Notamacropus eugenii: one gene and its partners. The protein of the gene in region 3 purifies or fractionates together with the protein of the main gene of each other region. This does not show direct contact. Links are inferred from orthologs where the notes say so. Each region holds a gene or a part of one and is shown on either strand. Other genes may lie near its edges.

Evidence for each region.
Region 1: the proteins of SNRNP70 (region 3) and MRPS14 purify together in Homo sapiens (affinity purification with mass spectrometry; 3 studies listed by BioGRID and IntAct, with this or other methods). This does not show direct contact. The link is inferred for Notamacropus eugenii from reciprocal best matches to the Homo sapiens genes SNRNP70 and MRPS14.
Region 2: the proteins of SNRNP70 (region 3) and NCBP1 purify together in Homo sapiens (affinity purification with mass spectrometry; 3 studies listed by BioGRID and IntAct, counting the BioPlex papers as one, with this or other methods). This does not show direct contact. The link is inferred for Notamacropus eugenii from reciprocal best matches to the Homo sapiens genes SNRNP70 and NCBP1.

What each region holds. Positions count from the first base shown.
Region 1 is NC_092873.1:471,548,084-471,551,900, reverse strand, and holds the start of MRPS14 (small ribosomal subunit protein uS14m), read right to left. Parts: upstream 2,800-3,817; 5' UTR 2,696-2,799; coding exon 2,651-2,695; intron 2,631-2,650; exon of another isoform or gene 2,410-2,630; intron 1-2,409.
Region 2 is NC_092874.1:314,404,518-314,408,334, forward strand, and holds the start of NCBP1 (nuclear cap-binding protein subunit 1), read right to left. Parts: upstream 2,295-3,817; 5' UTR 2,142-2,294; coding exon 2,108-2,141; intron 1-2,107. Other genes in the region: TSTD2 (thiosulfate sulfurtransferase/rhodanese-like domain-containing protein 2), read left to right, coding at 3,171-3,185. UniProt on the Homo sapiens protein: Component of the cap-binding complex (CBC), which binds cotranscriptionally to the 5'-cap of pre-mRNAs and is involved in various processes such as pre-mRNA splicing, translation regulation, nonsense-mediated mRNA decay, RNA-mediated gene silencing (RNAi) by microRNAs (miRNAs) and mRNA export.
Region 3 is NC_092876.1:12,376,316-12,379,915, reverse strand, and holds the start of SNRNP70 (U1 small nuclear ribonucleoprotein 70 kDa), read right to left. Parts: upstream 2,274-3,600; 5' UTR 2,144-2,273; intron 1,485-2,143; 5' UTR 1,466-1,484; coding exon 1,319-1,465; intron 1-1,318. UniProt on the Homo sapiens protein: Component of the spliceosomal U1 snRNP, which is essential for recognition of the pre-mRNA 5' splice-site and the subsequent assembly of the spliceosome. SNRNP70 binds to the loop I region of U1-snRNA.

The DNA of each region.
Region 1 (3,817 bases), on a different chromosome or scaffold from region 3:
TCGATGCAGCTTACATTCTACCAAGGGAAGGTGACATGCACTCATATTTGTGATCTCTTCAGGGTGGGAGTTCCTCCAGTGAGGGACATAGCTATTCATCTAGTCTTTCCTCATCCTGTGGGACTTTCATCAAAGTTCCCCCAAAAGTTTCCCACGAGTCCACCCGCCATGCTGGAAGGCTTCTTCAATTTCTCCCAACATCATGAAGGTACCATGGAGCACTCTAGTGTCTGTCATCCCTCGCTCTTGCCATGTGAGCAACCCCTGTTGTCTTACTGTCATAGAATTCCTTGAAGTCATTCATGCAATAAATATTTATGAGCTGCTGCTTTATGCCAAGAACAGTGCTAGGTACTGAAGATACAAAGAAAACAACAAATCCTAGGCCTTCGAGGAACTTACTTCCCACTGAATGAAAATACACACATATAGGCAAGGAAATACCAAAAAACTGAAGAGGGAAAGAATATTATAACTGAGGGGATCACCAAAGGTTCTGAATAGGGATTTATAGCTGAGCTGAGCCTTAAAGAAAACTAGGAATTTTAGATTTTAAGAGACAGAGATAAGGAGGGAATATGTTCCAGAATTGGAGGTACTGAGATGGGAAAATGTTGACTTTGGAGAGATATCAAGCAAGGCAGTTTGGCAAGGATACAAAATATGCGAAGGGAAGTCATATGAAATGTCTGAAAAGGTGAGTGAGAGTCAGACAACAAAGAGCTCTAAAGACTGGATTAAAGAGTTCACTTTATCTTAGAAGCAAAAGGGATCAACTGAACACTTTTGAACAGGGGAGTGATACAGTGTGGAAGATAGAATGAAAAAGGAAACCAATTAGGAAACTATTGAAATAGAGGGGTTGAGGACCTGGATGAAGACAGCTACAGTGAGAAGTGAAAAGGATAGAGTCGAGAGATGTTGTGTAGGTGAAATCAAGAAGACTTGGCAGCCAATAGGATACAGAAGCAAGGGAGACAGAGGGAACAGTCAAGGATGACTCAGGGTCTGAATCCTACATACTGCCACACAAGGCTTTGTGGATCTCCACAGTGCTCTTCCCCAAATTACTTTACATATAACACTGACATTTTAAGATATTTACTTAATCACATATATGTTTCCCTCCAAATAGGAAGTAAGCTCCTTGAGGGCAGAAGCTTGTTTTTTGTGTTTGTATCCCCAGTGCCTAGTGCTGTGTCTCTCCTATAGTAGGCATTTAATAAATGCTTGTTGAGTAAGTGATTTTCAGTGCCAGGAAGGATTTGCAGGAAGGGTGGATTTAGAGGGAAATAATATCTAGCACATTACACACACACACACACACACACACACACACACACACACACACACACACACACACACACACATACATACACATCACTTTAAGGTTGACAAAATGCTTCACATGCTACCTCATTGGATCCTCAAAAAGATCCTGTGAGATGGTTCTATTATTATTCCCACTTTACAGATGAGGGAATTGAGGAAGAGAGCAGGTAGGTGACTTGCCCAGGATCATCCAATAAGCAGGTTTCTGAATCAGGATTTGAATTCAGGTCCTCCTGAATCCAAGCCCCGTATTCTATTCATCAAGTCTCCTAGCTGCCTGCCACGATGAAAAACATGGTTAAGTTTTGTTTTGGAAATGCTGAGTCTGAGATAGGAAAGGGACAAGCAGGTGCTGATGTCCAGGATGCAGCTGGGGGTTCCAGGGCAGGGGTCTGGGTTGGATTTGGGATTCATCCGTGTAAAGATGATAACTGATCCTTTGGAAGCTATGGCGATCACAGTACAGACAGTATATATATATCTATGTATCTGTACAGAGAGTATATATCTATGTCTATATGTATCTCTCTCTATATCTATAGATAGATGGATGGATGGATGGATGAATTAGATGACGTAGGTAGATGATAGATATAGATACAGATATAGATAGACAGACAGACAGACATAGATACAAAGCTACAAACACGGTCTTTCAGGTGGGGGCCGGTCAAGGATTTGGCAGAGAACGGGAGGGGACGGCCCCCCGGGCATCCAACAATGGGGAGAGCCGCAGAGGCCCAGCGGGATGACTGAACCAAGGGCTCGGAGTCTCAGGTCCCTCAGCGTTTGCTCAGGGGCAGCTCGGCCCCCTTGGGGCGGACCCCACTCCCATCCCGGCTGCTCCTTGGCCACGTGTGAGGTTGGGCTGCTGGTGTTCCCTCCCAGCTCTGGGTTTTTTCCTTTTGAATGCCGGGCTGGAGGCGGGCGTTGTAGGCGGCCCCTCTCTTCCAGCTTCTGAGCTCGCAGCCTGCCTCCCACAACCGCCATCGTTCCTGCCTCAGTTTCCTCCCCTGTAAAATGCAGGTCACCGACCCCTCCCCCGGCTGCTGAGGATCCAAAGGCGCGCTTTCAGACCTTCAGATCGCCCTCTAAATGCTACCGGTTGTCATCATCATTATCATCAATACGATCGCCTCGGTGCCCTCATTAACCTCGGAGACACTTCCGGTCCTCCGTCTACACTCGCCGCGCTCACTCCTCCGCTCCCCCGCGGGGCTTGGGGGAAGGACATCCCTGGGCCCGCCAGTTTCGGGGGTCGGGGAGCTGCGGGGGGACAAAAGGCCGGGGAGAGGGAGCGGACGAGGCCAATACTGACCTGACGTACGGACCGCAGCACTGAAGCCAGCGCGGAGGCCGCCATGTTGCCGGACGCGGGATTCAAAGGTCCGCAACTTTATTGACACCGAAGGAGAGAGGAGCAGGCACGGGGAGGCGGGGCCTCGTGCGGGCCAGGGGGCGGGCCAGGGGGCGGGCCAGGGGGCGGGCCAGGGGCGGGGCAGGGAGAAGGAGAGCCCTGGGGAGCGTGCGCGAGGAGGATGCGCAGTGAGAGTGCTCGACTACGGCTCCGCCCCCGTGACGTCACCGCGCTTGCCCCTCTCTGGGTCGCGCTTCAGACCTAAGTGTTTAAAACGCAAGAGTGCAGGGGTGAAAGTAGGTGACGTCAGAAAAACCCAAAGGCGCCCAGCCCTCTGGTGGTCTGGCGGGCCGCCCCCTAGGTGCCAGGCGGCCAGGGACTAGGAGAAAGGGACAAACGTGTCCCTGCCCCGAGCGGGGGAGGGGGAGACCCCGTGCAGGTCACTGCAGTTAAGACACAAGCTGACTGGGCAGCCGGGGGTAAAGTGCGGGTCAAATGGGGAAGACAAGTCATGCCAGCGCGCCAGCCTCAGTTTCCTGCTCTGAAAATGGGGCCGATAATAGCAGTGCCCACCTCCCAGGGCAGGGACGACGCTCGGCAAACCTTAAAAGTGTAAAGGCTGGGGTTAGGGACCGGGCAGTGCCCCCGGGCTCCAAGGCTGGGGTTAGGGACCAGGGCAGTGCCCTCGGGCTCACATGCCAAGGCTGGAGTTAGGGACCGGGGCAGTGCCCTCGGGCTCACATGCCAAGGCTGGGGTTAGGGACCGGGGCAGTGCCCCTGGGCTCACATGCCCCTCTGTAACATGGAGGAAAACAGGACCGAATGAGACAAGACTTAGAAGTGCTCTGTGAGTGCTAACCCTCCTCCTCCTCCTCCTCCTCCTCCCCCTCCTCCCCCTCCTCCTCCTCCTCCTCCTCCTCCTCCTCCTCCTCCTTCTCCTCCTCCTCCTCCTCCTCCTCCTCCTCCTCCTCCTCCTCCCACAGTAAGCGGAAGGGCATCTGACAGCTACAGCTTTGGTTCTTTCCAAAACACTCGTTTAATCACAATCTGCTCCGTATAAATCTTGTACGGACCTAGTTATTTCCTATGAGTGTTATTGTTAGTTATATTAATTGTTCATATAATCAT
Region 2 (3,817 bases), on a different chromosome or scaffold from region 3:
CTGTGGGAATCTCCTTTTTTTAAAAAAAAGTGGTAGTGAAAAGTATCAACTTGAAAAAGGTGTAAAAAACTAAAGTTCCCTCCAGAGACAAAAATAGGGATTACTCTTATGCCAATGTAATTTAATTACTGTGCATGTTACATATTTTTTAAAAACCACATATTTAGTGTATTTAATTACTTGTAAAAGACATGAAATATACTTCAGTGGATAAATATACTTAGCAGACAGTTTCAATCAATTGTAGCCAGAAAAATCATCATTGGAGTGCTCAACCTGAGTGACTCCTCATTTACCTATGCTTGTCCTCATCTCTGGGACTACATTCAAAATCTTTCCAGTTTGACAGGGTACGATAAAGCCTGGCATCCACTGACACAACTTTTGAAAATCCAAGGAGATGGACTTTAGCAAAATACAGATTTGCAGATCACCTCTAAATTTGCTCATTCTGACAAGATCTCTAGTTCAAATGAATAAAAAATGTTACCTAAGTTCATTGTCAACCTCTCTGATAAAGAGAACAATCACATATTTATTTCAGAGCACTACAGAGGAAAGGTATGGCAAAAAAGATTTTAAACTGTTGGAGATCAGATGATCATACTTCATCTTTCTACTTCTAGGCATCTAGCACAACAGTTAGCACCAATCAAATCCAGATCTAAGATTTCATCCCTGCAGGGAGATTCCAATAGCAAAAATTCTCTCCTTGAACCAAAACTAACAGGTAATTATTTCAGCTACTTTAAAAGTCTTAGAAGGTTGCCTGGCACAACTTACCCAGAGTCACAAAACCAATACCAGTCACACACAGGATTTGAACTCAGGTCTTCCCAGACTCTGAGACCAGATCTTTATCCTGGAGGTGTGGTAAGAAACAACCCTTAATAAATATTCAGATTCACAGGCACAGCCACCTAACTTTACATAGTAAGATGAACTGCCAAATGTGACAAAGGTATTAAGCAGCAGATTTAACCCAGGTTGTCTGGATCCGAAGCTATTAGCTCTTTCACCTGAACCAAAACAAATGAAATGTAAAACACTAGTCCCTTCCAGAATCATATTGCATTTCAAAATGCATATTTTAAAATAAATCTTAGTTGTTAGATTAATACTATTACTGTTGTTACAGTCACATAGAACATTTTCTGAGATTTTTACATTTTTATGAGAAACTTCTGATACCTGCCTAGTTATGTTACTGCAGCTTCAACAAGTCTCCATAATATGTATTTCCCTGAACATGAATTTGGAATCCTGCTCTGAAGAATCACTCAGGGTCTTGTCCTTTCCCTCTAGAGACTACCAATAAAGTTACAGAATTCTGTTTAAAGAGCGCAGCTATGATAGGTGTCACACGGTGAACCTGTTGCCCATCCTTTCTAAGTGTCCACAAGAGAACGCCCCTGAAGACAGACAGCTCTGTCCACAGCAGGGGCTCTTAAAGCCAGTCAGTAATGCTGTTGTCCTTTTAAATCCTTCGATAACCACATTTTCAGATCACTGGTTTCCTCGGAAATCCTCCTTCATGCACTCAAAGACGTTATCTGAAAAAAGGTCCACAGGCCCCGAAGGAGCCCACGACGCGCACGAGAAGGTGAAGAACCTTCATCTAATGAGTGATGCCAGTTTCATATTTTTTGGTTAATGCTCGAAATAAGAACAAGACGTGGGTGAAAGTCAAACAGGCCCCTCCTGCTCCATCTCCTGATGCGGACCGAGGTCCTGGCTCGGGCAGCCAGTGCTGGGAGGTGACGGGGCGTGAACCCCGGGGGGTCTCGGATAGATCTGCGTTTATCAATAATGGCTAACGTTAGCACAAGACTTTACTACTTACAAAGGCTTTACGTATATTCGCCCTTGATCTTCACAACAATGCTGAGTACATCCTAAGTTATCACGCCCACTTACAGACGGGGACACTGAGGCCCCAGCGGCCCTACGTCACGGCTGGGAGCGGCGGAGGCCGCGCTGGAAGCCGGGGCTCCCGGACCAGAGGCCTGCAGCGGGATCCCGGGAGCGGGCCGGCTCCGCAGCCCCGCGCCCGGCCCGACCTCCCGGCCGCCCGCCCGGCCCGGGCCGCCGCCGCCCGCTCACTTACCGTCGTTCTCGTCGCTGTGCCGCCGCCGCGACATCCTGCCCGCCGCGCGCCCCTCCGCCTCCGCGGCCGCCGGAGATCGCGGGAAACCCGCGCCTTTCGCTTCACGGCAGCGGGAAAGGGCGGAAGCGGCGAGGGGAGGGGGTGGCGAGGCGGCGCGGGGAGCTGCGGGCCGGCCTGCGGCGCTGACGCACACGCACGCTAGAGCTCGCGCGAGCGAGGCGGGCGTGGAGGCTGGGGGAGGGGAAAGAGGGCACCTCCCGTCTCCACCGTCCCGAGGACGTCCCGTCAGGGTCTCGGGAGGCCGGGCGGGAGGCGTCGCGTGTGAGGGAGCCTGAAGCGGGAGAGCCCAAGGGAGCGGCCCAACAAGGCCGCGGAGCGAACTTCCGCCGCCTTCTCTCTCCCCTCCCCTCCTCCCGCTCCTCGCGCTTAATCTTCTTCCGGGAGAACAGGGAGCGGGGAGAGCCAGTTCCTAGAGCGTCGGTCCCGGCTGGGCAGGCGCGCGTCTTAGGGAAAGGGCGGGGGGAAGGGAGGAGGAAGGAGTCTCGGCCAGACGCTAGGCCGCGCGGAGCCGAGGTGGTGACGCTCTGGGCCTTCTGTGCCACTCGATGGTTCTCCCGACTGCCCTTGCGCCTGCCGGACGTAGGCGACGTCTGGGCTGAGGGGCCGTCTGTAAAGTACCGGTCGGGAGGAGAAACGTGCCCGCGAAGGGCTCTCGGGGGACTGCGTGTTCCGGTGGTTGCTAGGATAGACGGGCCCGCGGGTGGAAGCCCCCCAAAGACGGGAGCCGGCCAGGTAGGTACTTCCTGCGACCTCCCGGGTGTTCTGTTGACGCTTCGGACCCCTCCCCTCCCCCCGGGTCAGTGCGCGTGGCACGGGGGCCCCCGGGGGGGTGGGCCGGCAGTCCTACCCCTGAGAGCCATAACTGACGTTGATGGCCGGCCTGGAGACCGGCAGGCCTCGTTAAGGCCTTCCTCTCTAAGGTGGGGGTTGTTCAGTTCTGTTTTACGGAGGGGGAAACTGAGGCAACTCTGAAGAACTGAAAACGAGTGTGAACAAAAGAGGAATGGAAAGTCACACGGTGTGTGCACAGGACGGTGAGCCTGGAACACCGGGGTGAAGAGAAGACACTGGCAGCCCGAGGGCCCTCTGCTGGCACTCTCTGGCAGTCTGGAGGGGGGGAAGGCTGCAGGTAGTGGCTCAGAGGCTGGAGCGCCGGGCCAGAGCAGGTCACTCACCCGCTGGAGAAGCCCCGGGGGGCCATGGCCGAGCTGTCCTGCTGAGTGGCCAGCCCTCTTGGTGTGACGGCCTCCAGACCTGTGTGTCCGGCAGTCTGTCTGCCCTTCCTGCTGTCAGACTTCAGCTTCAGTGTAAGGCCTGCATCCCCCCTGTGTCACCGAGCTTCTGTGTTTGAAGTAAAGATGCCAAGGCCTGTGGGTGGCATGCACCTTCTTTTCTGGGTCTTCAGAAGAGGCAGGGTGGCAGCACCCACAGAGGCAGCTGTCCGGTCCGCTCCCCCCCTTGTGATGGTGGACTGGCCTAGAAGCCAAACTAACACCAGCTGGAGGTGGTACATGCCAGCTGTGCCAGAGGTCCTCAGGCCCAGGGTCCTGCGCTGCCTCTGCCAGGCTTGGAGGAGAGGTGGTTTTTGTGCCTTGGCTCTCCTTCTGGATTCGTTAAGTTACCCTTTCACTTGCCAGCTAGCGTAGAGGA
Region 3 (3,600 bases):
GTCAAACAGAATAATAAGACCACCTACATCCCTGGGTTGTTGTGACAATCAAATGAGATAAATTTTGTAAAGATGTGTGCCAACCCTAAAGTGCATTAGAAATCCTAGTGACTGTTAGTAAGGGACCTCGGTGATCAGTATGCCCATAACTACAGCAACCCCTAGTGGCTGCCTAGCCTCTGCTCCCTGGTGAGCCTCCAGAGGCCTTACTTTTGTTCTGACCCAGTGCTCGGGGTTCTGCCCTCCCTTCTGTCATGAGGGAGGGAGTCCTTCATATGCCGGGAGAAACCCACCACATTCCCTAAATCTTCACTTCTCATGAACTCGGGCAGAGGACAAGGCGACCTGAATCACCTGCCTAAGTGGCTGACCCCAAGACTAGGCCACAGAGCTCCACAGGGGTGGGGGTGGTTACCTAACACCTCGCTCTGGACTGTTTTCTACAACACCTACTTCTCATCTTGTGCATATGAAAGTCAATTCAAGTCCTGGTGCTTGTCCTCCACAACATTTCATCTTACTTTGGCCAGCCCCAATAGTCTAGCTTATCAAGATTTTTTTTCTGGTTCCTGATTCTGTCACCCAATACATTCACTACCTCCTAGCTCTGTGTCACCTGCAAACATGGTTAGCAATGCACCAACAGAAATGATTGAATCCCTCACTGGTGAAGATTCTCTCCAAGGGGCCCCTACTGAAGGCCTCCTTCCAGGATCAAAAAGAATTCCTCTGCACTACCCTTGGGGGCTGGTATTCAGCAAGTGCTGACCACATACAAGTGCATTCATTTCAAGAGCACCTCGTGCCACCTTTAGCAGGAGAATTACAGAAGAGACTCTCACCAAATGCTCTGCTGAAATCTAAGTGAACTAGACCTACAGCACTCTCTAAACCGCCACATTCTTAAGGCTGTAACAAAGGGAAGAGGGGTTTTCTTGTCTGTCCTCAGCAAAAGCAAACTCAGGGGTCTCAGCTGTTTGCTAACCATCCCTCTGGTCACATTCCACAGCAGTGAAGAGAAGTCAGCCTCCCTGGCACCCAGCTCTCTGCCCATCCTCTGCCCTTTGCCAGTCCTACAAAACTCCTCGGCGTAAACTTGAGGCATTCCCTCAGATCTTCCAAACATCACTACCAGAAGGGGCCGAGCCCCCTCACTCCACAACGGAAGCACCCAGCCTGCTGATGCCCACGGAGCTGGAATGGACCAGCTGAGCCCAATTCTTCCAAAGGAACCCAGTGATCTGACTGCCCCCAAGGGGATTCCTGCCGCTGCCTGGGTCTGGGCCCAGTCCTGGAAAGGGGTGGTGGGAGTACTCACCTCAAACTCCCGGATGTAGGGGGCAATGCCGCAGTAGGGCTGGTTGTGGTGCTTCTCATGGGGCAGCTTTTCCAGGGGGGGCAGGTAGGGGATCGGGTCTCGAGGAGCAAAGAGGGCCAAGAGGTTGGGAGGCAAGAACTGCGTCATGATGCCGGGTGTACAGGGTCTGGAGGGAGGAGATGGCGGTCACAAGTCTGGGGGACAAAGGCACCTGGCCTCCACCTCCCTTCCCCGCTGGGCCCAGCCTCCGGGGGTACGCAGGGACCCTCAGTGACAGGCCCCCCGGGCCCACCTCCCACGAGGGGCTTTCCCGGGGTTCTAGGGGGCCCAACGTGGGCAACAACGACAACGAGGGTGAGAGCAGGGCCTCGGCGCCGCAAAGGGCTCTGGGTAAAGGAGGGGGCTCCTGCGACATAGGGGGACGCGGGTGAGGAGGGCGGGGAAGGGGCTGGCGGGCCGAGATCCGTGAGGAGGGGGTCTGGGCAGAAGTCCCGACGGGCACAGGGCACCCCGGGTACAAGGGGAGGGTCCCAGAGGATTCAGGGGGCAAGGGGGAGGGTCCCCGACGGCCGTGAGGCATTGTGGGTGAAGGAGGTGCGGGATGTACCGGCTGGCGCAAAGACGTATGGGTAGCGAGAGGGGTCCCGGAGGCCGCAGGGAGTTATGGGTAAGGGGGGGACAAGCGGGTGCAGAATGGTGCGGGTGGGGGGGGTGCCCCCGGAGGACGCAGGGAGTTGTGGGTAAGGGGGGGGGGGTACCGGCGGGCGCAGGGAGTTGTGGGTAACCAGCGGGGCCCCGGCCGCCAGGCCGGCCTACTGCACTTACCGGCCGCGCGGCGGCGGCGGCCCCCTCGGCCGGGCGGGGCTCCCGGGGAGGGCGGCGGCAGCAAGAGCGGCGGCGGCGGCTCGTCGTCGTCCTCCTGGAGCTCGGGGGCCTCGTGGCGCGTCGGGGCCGAGGCCGGGGGCGGCGGCGGGGCCGGCAGCGCTGTCGGCTCCGGGGCGCTCGCTCCGTCACTCCGTCACTCTGCCCGTCCGTCCGGTCACGGCTCACACAGGCACCAGCGCGGCCCGGCGATGAGAGACGCACCGACCAAGGGAGGCGGGTCTCGCGAGAACTTGGCGCGAGCGCGGGGCCGACGGGAGGCGGGGCCACGCCGAGATCCTTGCGCGCCCGCGAACCAGTACGCACGCGCAGAATCGACTGGGGCGGGGAGGGCTGCCGGGGAAGAGTCCAGCGCGCACGCGCCGATCGTCCTCCGCTCGCCCTTTTCCTTCCCCGTCCCGGCCAACGTTGTCAGGGCGCATGCGCCTGCTGCTTTCTCCTTCGCCCTCTTTCGTACTCGCTCAACCGCCGCCTTCCGCGAGCTGGGTGAATCACACCTTTCTTCGCAACCAGAAGTGTCCTTTCACCAAGAAAAGAGTCCTCCACGTGACACACTCATCCAGTACAGTCCAGCCCCGCTTTACAGAAAGAAAGGGTCACGTTCCCCGGAGGGCGGGGCCGCGATCCGTCCGGAACGACGAAACTAAAGCCTGTGCAGCCTGGGACACCACAAGGGCGCCCTCTGGGCGTTAGGGAGCTGGGGTCCCTTTCAGAGCCCCGGGCTGCCCCGTGGCGGGGCCGGGCTGCTCTCTGCGGGACCTCCAGCTCCGGAGAGCCCCAGGCCCCCCAGGGTCGCGGCCCCAGAACGTTGCCAGGGGGTAGCCTGGGGGAAAGAGGCCCCCTGGTCCTTGGGTCTCTAGCCAAGCATCCCCTGATGATCCCAGAACTCCAGCAGAGCTGCTCTCCCTCCCTGGGCTGCCCCGGATGTCCTGGGCATAAGGGCCTCCAGAGCTCCAGAACTTCACAGGCTTTCCTCACGCCCCAGGGGATGGTGGGAGTCAATCAAAGTGTTCTCACCTAGTGGAGACAGCAGACACGGAGGATCTCTCCTTTTCTTTCCCAAAGAGGTTTATTTCCAAGTAAAAGCAAGAGCACAGTAGGGATTCCTCCGAAGCCCCCCAGGCACGCTCTGCCCAGGCCCACGCTTGGCACAGCTCTCACCCAGCACGGATCTGACCAAGCTCACGGCCAGATGCGGTGTGCCTTCCCAGGACCGCAGGGCAGGCTGGAGGCTTCTCATGGGCTGCGTTTTGTGAGCCCTTTCTGTGCTAGGTGCTGGGCTGTGAAGAGTAATACTGCTATCTGACGTTCATGTATCACTAACGTTGGCCAAGTCCTCCACTTTGGACTAACTCGATCACAGCAGTCCTGTGAAGGAGGTGCTCTTGTTCCAGTTTTTC